2 linked regions of the Rattus norvegicus genome follow. The protein of the gene in region 2 purifies or fractionates together with the protein of the main gene of each other region. This does not show direct contact. Links are inferred from orthologs where the notes say so. Each region holds a gene or a part of one and is shown on either strand. Other genes may lie near its edges.

Evidence for each region. The genes of interacting proteins can lie anywhere in the genome.
Region 1: the proteins of Pln (region 2) and Atp2a1 purify together in Homo sapiens (affinity purification with western blotting, with the first as the bait; 3 studies listed by BioGRID). This does not show direct contact. The link is inferred for Rattus norvegicus from reciprocal best matches to the Homo sapiens genes PLN and ATP2A1.

The regions. Positions count from the first base shown.
Region 1 is NC_086019.1:190,472,611-190,476,671, forward strand, and holds the start of Atp2a1 (sarcoplasmic/endoplasmic reticulum calcium ATPase 1), read right to left. Parts: upstream 2,801-4,061; 5' UTR 2,637-2,800; coding exon 2,519-2,636; intron 2,226-2,518; coding exon 2,208-2,225; intron 1,871-2,207; coding exon 1,788-1,870; intron 401-1,787; coding exon 296-400; intron 1-295. UniProt on the Homo sapiens protein: Key regulator of striated muscle performance by acting as the major Ca(2+) ATPase responsible for the reuptake of cytosolic Ca(2+) into the sarcoplasmic reticulum.
Region 2 is NC_086038.1:33,171,108-33,175,293, reverse strand, and holds the start of Pln (cardiac phospholamban), read right to left. Parts: upstream 2,801-4,186; 5' UTR 2,729-2,800; intron 1-2,728. UniProt on the Homo sapiens protein: Reversibly inhibits the activity of ATP2A2/SERCA2 in cardiac sarcoplasmic reticulum by decreasing the apparent affinity of the ATPase for Ca(2+).

The DNA of each region.
Region 1 (4,061 bases), on a different chromosome or scaffold from region 2:
CCCCGCTAGCCTAGAAGTAAAGAGACCCCTGCCTCTGCCTCTGGGGTGCTGCAGGGCTGTGCCACTACCCTTAGCTTACTAGCCTTGTTTCACAAGTGAGGAAACAGGCTTAGGGACGTGGTCACATGTAAGCAAATGATCCCTCGGCTCTTTCCAACACCCTCTACCATTCCCAAGCAGGATGAGAAGACCAGAAGAGTGGGCAAGGCCAGGGGAATATTGGAGGAGGCTGGAAGGAAATGTGGCCCCTTGCTCAGTGTTGAGACAGGAGGTGGGAGGAGGGGTCAAAACTAACCTGCCAAACCCCCACAATGGCGTTGGCAATGAGGATCAAGAGAATGACAAAAGGCTCCACAAAGGCAGTGACAGTTTCCTCACCTTCCTCAAACCAGGCCAGCACCTGAGAGGGGGAGGGAGAATAAACGGATGATAACAAAGCCCCTAAATGACAAAAGGAATTGGAAGGTTTTTGAAGGTGGCTGCAGAAGTCAGATGGTGGACAAGAGCTAAGGGGCCTGTGGCATGCTGAAGCCCCACTTAAACATGAGGCTCTTCCCTTTGCCACAGGGCCCCAAGCACACAGACCCAGCCATCCTTGTGATTTTGTGCAGATTGGTGATGCAGCCACACACACTTGGGGATTACCTGGGACAGCTTTCGGGTTTCCCTGAGCAAATTGTTGGCTTGTAAGCAAACCTCTGGGGACACCCAGGGTCAACCAACCCTACAGCCACAACCATCCCACAGGACCCAAGCCCAATAGGAAAATCCCTACGGTTCTGGAAGGGCCCAGCCCACCCACAGCCCTCCCTTACCACCAAGGCATGGAAGCTCCGATTTCATGAGAGAACAGGAGGGAGGTAGGGTTACAGGCCTCCTGCACCCACCCCACCCCAGCTGTTACGACTGCCAGACAGCAGCCACAGGCAAATGTCAAGGAGCAAATCTGAGGAGAGAGAAGGGAGCTCTGCCAGCTTAGGCCCAGGAGCGCACGGGGCCTACACAGTATTGGTTTTGTTTGTTTGTTTGGTTCTTGTTTTTGTTTTCTCTCCTAGGTCTTATTTTCCAACTAGGATGCTAAAGAACTTCTAAAATGCAAGATGGACTGCTGGAATGAAGGGTGACAAGCAGCCAGCAGCGTGGGCTATGAATACTGGAGCTGAAACAAGGGGATGGGGTAGCCTGAGGCTCTGAGGGAACGGGAGACACCAAGAGGTAAGGATGAATAAGGCTGGATAAAGAGAAGTAGGCACGAAGCTCCAGGCCTAATGGAAGTAGGATGTGGTAGAGCCTGGAGACAGTTGAGGGGTGGGGTGTGGAAGGTTAGAAGGTCTGGAGACCACACTGGCAGTCGCCCTTGTACCAAAGCACATTCTCCACTCCTCTAAGCAGGTCTTTCTTTTTTTAGTCAATCAGCATCACAAGCTGGAGAGGGCAGGGCAGGATTGATGAAGCAGAGTAGGGAGCAACCAGGACAGGCAGGGAGTGATGATGGCCCCACAGTAGACATGGCAGCCCTTATTGAAGCCGGAGCCCTATGCTTAGGGGGGGTAACCTGAGCTCTTGAAGCCCTTGAAGCTGGGAGGGTGGCTTAGCTTCAGTGTTTTGGCTGAGAACACTCTCAAGGCTTAAAATAAAACCTCTCTGCTGGGGAGGAAGCAAATCAGCACCCCACCCCCAGCTCCAGCGTGGAAAACAGGGTGTTTAGGGTTTGGACCAGGGCATCCAGGATGGTAAGAGCCACAGGCAGACCCCAAGCCTCGTGTCATTCTTCAGACAGTACTCACAAAGGAAATGCAGGCAGCCAGGAGGAGAATCCGCACCAGCAGGTCTTCGAACTGCTCTACCACCAACTCCCACAGAGACTTGCCTGGGAGAGGCAAGAAGAGGAGTTCCAGGGGTTAAGGTCCAAACGATGAGTGTCTGCAGCTCTGGATGGGCTGGGGCCCAGAGTCTAGAGTGCCCTGGTCCTCTAAGTTGATGGGCAGCCCAGCTTGGCATGAGAGAAAGGGATGAAACAGCCAAAAAGGCTCTTCAAATCTGTGGCAACTGTTCCAGGGCAGGAGGCCTCAGGGAAAGTGTCTGGAGACTTTTGACACTAAATTTTGAGAAAGGGCCTCTGTCGTTTGGGTAAAGGCTATGGGTCTCAGTAAGGAGAAGGCAGGGAGTTGGGAATGAGGCACACAGGAGGGCCCCGGGTAACTTACCTTCCTCAGCAGGGAGCTCTACCCAGGGAAAAAAGAAGAAAAGAACAAATTCAGTGGGGGCCCAGCTTCATGTCCCCCAGCACCCCAAACTCTGTGGTTAACATAAGGGAATCAAAAGGGCATCCCATGAGGCTCAAGGTCACATTGAACCTCCCCAAACTCCAGATTTTAGAACTTTTCTTTAGTATCCTCCTCCTCCTACAGGAAAACAGACCACTGCCCTACTTGATCGTACACACCCGGAAGAAGCAGCTCCCACTGGTAGGGGTAGGAAGGCAGCCATACCAGCTTCTCCTCTGAGGGATACTTACCATTGGGGCCGTATTTTTCCAGATGCCGCTTAACTTGGTCTGGGGTAAGGCCTGTGGTCTCGCTCACCCCAAAATAGGACAAACATTCCTCTGTGGACTTGGAGTGTGCGGCCTCCATTCTGCTCCCTTCTTGGGGGCCAGGGGGTGATGTATTCCTTCTTAGGGGCCTCTCACTTGTGGGGGGACTTCTTCAGTGTATCCACCTGCCTGTTAACCTGGGCTCCTTCCTTTTTCTTGCTTGCCCCCCCAGATTCTTCTCCTTTCCACGAAGTTCTGACCCCAGTCCTACTTGTGCAGCCGGCCACCCCCCCAGCCCCCAGCTGGTCCTTATGAGGGAGTGGGGGGGCAGGCTCCCCCTTCCCCCAGGTCAGGGATTGGCTGGCTGAGACCCCAGCAGGAGGGGTCAAGAGAGAGAGAGGTTTCTGCTGACAGAGAGGAACAGTGGGGCTGCAGCCTGAGGTGTCACTCATAAGGGACGCAAAGGTGGCCCTGGCCCCAGAGGGGAGGGGGAGTAAAGTCACTTTCTATTATCTGCTGCTGACCCCACCCCCAGTTGCCTCAACTTCCCCAATTACACTAAATGCTCCGTTCCAAGCTCACCCTGAGCAGCTCTTTCCGTAAGCCCTCTTGGCCCTTAGGCCTCATCACTCCTTAGCCTTATCTTGACATCCTGAACCCCTTTCCACTGTCACAGTCTCCTCCCCTGCCTAGTATGTTCAGTTAACAGAAGAAGTATTCCAAGCCTTTGGGGGGTCAAAGTAAAGGGGAGAGCATCTTTGGGGACAGAGGAAGTAGCTCTAGAGAGACACAGGGAATTAGGGAAGGGAGCTGGTCAAGGGGACAGTGCAGATGGTAACCTTACCCTAGGGAGGGGTTGCTGCAGCCATCAACAAGGGATTTAGTGTCCAGGCCCTGGTAAGCAAAGCCAGGACTGTCTGTCTCTCCTGAACTCCCCCCACCACTACCGCTTTAGCTCAGCCTCTGGGAACACAGCCTTTAGCTCCCCCATGAAACTGGCAGGGAATCCCCCCCGAAGAAAATGGGACACCCAGGCAGCCAGGTAACCCAAGAGGCTACAGAATGTGCTGATGGCAGAGGGGGAGGGATGAGTGTTTCAGGGTGGGGCAGGGGAGTAAGGATCTCCTCACCCTACACTGGCCTTCAACCCCAGGGCTTCATGGTGACCCCTCAGAGATGTGGGGTTCTCTGAAGCTCTGGCCCTGATGCAACAGCCCACAGAGGGAGTGGGGATCAGGACTGGTAGGCATGCTCTGAAGCTGGGCCAGCCCCATGTGAGGGACCAAGGGCAGGACCCCTGAAGCTAGATGAAGCAGAGGCTCCAGAGAGAGGAAGGTGGAGATAGGTATAAAGAAAGAGGACAGGACAGAGTTAGCAGCAAAGACAGCACAGACTTCCTAAGCCTGAGGAGAAGAGGGAAAAGAAACAGCAGGGTTCGGGCAGTGGCAGTCATGTGGGCGGGGCCCCAGAGGCTGGGTGCAAAGCCACAAGTTGTTGCTGAAGGCCTGGCCTGGGTGTCAGCTTC
Region 2 (4,186 bases):
TGCTCTGATCAATGTGTGAATTCCTATATTAGATGAAAATTATTCTCATAGTGTAAATAGCAATGCAAAATTCATTCAGGAACCTTGAAAACAGTGACCTTGGATAGTTTGTAAATTGTAAGAAATGAAATTGATGGAATGTAGGGATGGAATAGAGTATTGAAGCCTTTGTACAAAGTTATGGGAAAATTAATCTGATTTTTAGATAAAAAGTTTAAATGGATTGCAGGTATATTTTTATCAGTGAAGCAAGCTAAATAATTGGATATTTTAATTTGACTGATTGTAGTATCTTAATGTCTGCCTTTGCTGACTAGAATTTACTGCGTGAAAACTAAAGACGTCAGTAACTTTTTATGCCTGACTTGGAAGATGATGTTTAGAATATCATAGAGTAGTACAGATACAACACTTGATGGCTCTTAAATGAAACGGAGGAATGCTTTTCAGTTAGCAGAAGTTTGCATCCTCATTTTTCCTTGAAGTAACCATTGGTAGTGTTTAGCACTTGTGAGGATGATGGTGTATCTTAGCCTCGCTAGTCACCGTGGGGTTAGATGTGCAAATGACCTCTTCCTCAAGGTCTTGTATTTGGGGATAGCTCTGTGAACCTCATAGCCCTCACTTGTTTTAGAATCTGTTTTCCAAATTATGATGTAGAGATTCAAATACACCAAGAATTAAGGTAAAAGGGAGTTTTTGTGTGCACTTAGGAAATTGTTCTTTAGAATAAATACAATTACGTTATCTAATTTATAGAGGTGATCTATAATCCTTCTCACTTAATGTTTTAATATATAATTTAAATTATATAACCAATGCAAATATTATGTCTTAATTGGTGAGATTAAGAAATAATATTAATGTATGACCCAAATACAATAATTTTCCTTTATGTTTACTAATATATTGTTAAAATAATTTTGATTTGCTTTAGGAAATGACATTGATGTGACTCTTTTTGGTAAAGCAATTTTTCTCATTTTTTCCATTATATTTCATAATTTTTATATTTTTTACATTTCTTCATTGATTTTATCTTTTTTTTTAAAGCATGTACCTTTATAAACAAAATACTTCAATGTCACCATAAAGCTAGTTTTGAACACATGGTTCAAGCATACCTGGCACTGTACTTTCTATTGAAAATTTTAACTACAGGCACTAATTATGCCATCCTCTTAACCTGCTAAAGATGCTTTGATAGCAGAATTTATATTTTTTCTAGAAGTTGTTTATATAAGGGAATTCTGGTGGGAAGAAACTCATTACCTACCCCCTACTCCACTGAAAAACTTTTGTACACGTCATTCTAGTGTGGGAATGTTATTGATAGGCATTACAGTAAAACACAGGGACCAGGGAGACGGCTCACTTGCTGCCAGGCCTGATGACCCAAGCTCAGTTCCTGAAGCCTACGTGTGGGGGGAAAGAACTGACTCCTACAAACCCTCCTCTGACCTTCACACACGTGCAATTGTATGCCCCCCCCCACAGTAAATGGATAAATAAAAAGGTAAAAAAATGCAGAAATTTGCCAGATAAACTTGGCACCAAGTGTCATTTGTACAATATCAAAGGAAACATATTTTTAGGGTTACAAATTTATTGAGAGGCTGGTTAGGGTTCCTTGGAGTTAAGAGCACATACTAGAGATGTTTTCCCGACAAGAGTTCTGCGTAGGAGACAGCTGTGTTTGAGTTAGAATTACAGGAATTGAGAATTATAGAGGTCAGTTTTATTTAGCATTTATGTATGATAGGAATGTAAGTAGTAAAGTAAAAGTGAGTTTTTTCTATGTCATCTAATAGGTTTAAGAGTAAGAAAACATTTTATTTAATTGAGCTTTGTAACAAATAGCAATAATACAGTGTTGCATCTCCATTCCTGGATATTTTGTTTTACTTCTAAATTCATGGCAGGAAACTTAGGAACAATGGAGAGTAAAAATGTGATAAATGTACTCTATGTTAGAATGTATTCAAATTTCCTTAGAAATGTTCCTATGCCAAAATGCCCTTTTTATTTTTAAAAATGTTGAATTATTTTTCTGTCATTTAAAAAAGATGTGTTTGTTTTAAAAATATCTAACTTTTTCTTTATAGAATCAAACTGAAACAAACTATTCTCTTTATTAAAATGAAAGTTCTAGAAGTATTTAAAGGTTGACTGGAATTTTTAGAGAGTAACAGTCATCAAGAGCATTTGAGAAGTAGTCTCCATTTTCTGTTCTTTAAAATCTCTTTTACTGTCTCACCTTAAGAGCTACAATGATATCATCAAGTAAGTGCGCTCAGTGTGCATGCCCCACAGTTATGAACAGCTGAGAATAAGCTGTGTCCCCCAGCGGTAAATAAGTGACCTCATCCTGCATTGTTCCAGCAGAGCCACATAGCAAAGGAAACCATTACGTTTGCATGAAAATTAATTTATCTCTACCAACATATATGCTAATATAATTGGGAGGTTTTTAAATCGGGAGTTCATATGTGCAAAACCAAAATAACCAAATGTAAGTAGCCCAAACAGGCTGAATAGGATCTCTTTTAAAGTGGTCTAATTTTACTGTCAGTAAATGGGTGAGATTTTATTTAGAAAGTAAGCATTTTGTCATAGATTCTTTTGTTATGTAGCTTTTGGAATTTAGGGGTTAGAATTCTTTTAAAAGTTTAGTAAGATCGAATTACAGAAAGTAAGAATGTCCAAAGTCAGTGATACCGTGCCTTACCTTGGCTTCTGTGATCGTCACAATGCAGACTGTTTAGTTGTGTGAAGTCTGGGAGCTCAGCTGCGCAGCTTTCTATCCTAGGTTTATGGGAACAGTTGCAGTAGGTGGAGGAGAAAAAGCATTCTAGGGAGGTCTTATGACATCACATAGGAATCCCAACCTGTGATTGGTTAGCCATGCTCTTATCACAGCAAACCTTAGCACTTACCCTTAGGTTTGGACATGTCGGTAACATGTTGTGCTTCACCTCTAGTTTTAATGTAGAGCTGTGAATGACAGGTCCCTGAGAATAAAGTACGTCTGAAACGCAGCTTTACAGTGGCTACACACACCTTCAGACTTGGGGAGGCTCACACCTGCTGCTGAGTGCAAGAGCTGAAATCCTGTGAAGGAACGCAGGAGGGAGGCTGCAGGCGCCACAAGGCAGGGTAGTGGAGCTGCCCTCAGAGCCTTGCTGTCAGAGCAGCGAGTGTTCTTGGGTGCTAGTCGAGGCCTTTCCCTGTCCTATTTATATTTGTGCTTTGTATCTCTCTAGGTACTGCTGTCTAGGATAGGTGAGAGAATGTGTATGAGGAAACTAGCATAATAATTTGAGTTTTGAAAAGAAAAAATTTATAGAGAAGGAGCAAATACATTTAACTTACATTCTCTGCAGTTAAGATTTTAACCAATGTTCTTATGAATGATTCTATATTTCATTAGGCATGTGTTATCTGCAGTAAGATGCAACTTATACATTTAAGGATTTTTTTTTATAGCTACATTGTGTTACCACAGAACGCAAACAGACTCTTAGTAAGCTGATACAGTGTCAAGAGCACCTTTTCTAGAAAGAAATAGCTGCAGGTTCCTGTCAGTTGTATGGCAGTGATGTGTTGACCAGGTTTCCAAGTGTTCAGATTTAAGTGTTGAGTATTTCTGAAAGTTTTTGACCTAATGTAAGTAAGTTTTTGTCTGAAGTGTAAGAAAATTTTTTTTAGAAAGTCAGATGGCACTTGTGGGTCTAGAGTGGCTTTGAGAACTGGGTCGTGCTGCAGAGCCGACCATGTCCTGCTGTCTCCTCTCACGCTCCACCGATTTTATATTACATGTATGTAAATCAGCACATGTGTGGATCCTACTTTTTCAATTTCACTGTTTAGTTTTAGAGAACCTATGTGTAATTCTTAAAGTGCTTATAGCAGAGTAAACTCAGCCTCCCTCTCTTTCCTGTGGGTAAGAAAAATGTGTGGCTGCAGCTGCTCCTGTGTCCTTAAATGGATATGATCTTGCCTTCTTGCAAAGCAAGATAAAACCCTCTTCTCGAGCAAATCTCTTGTTGCTTAAAAGGTTAGCTAAAAGCAACTGAAAAATATTTTATCAAAGATCGTCTATAAATATTATTTAGGGACGGACATATTTACCATGTAAAAGTAAAGTGCCGACTGTTATTGCAAGAATTCCCTCTCACTGTGTGGA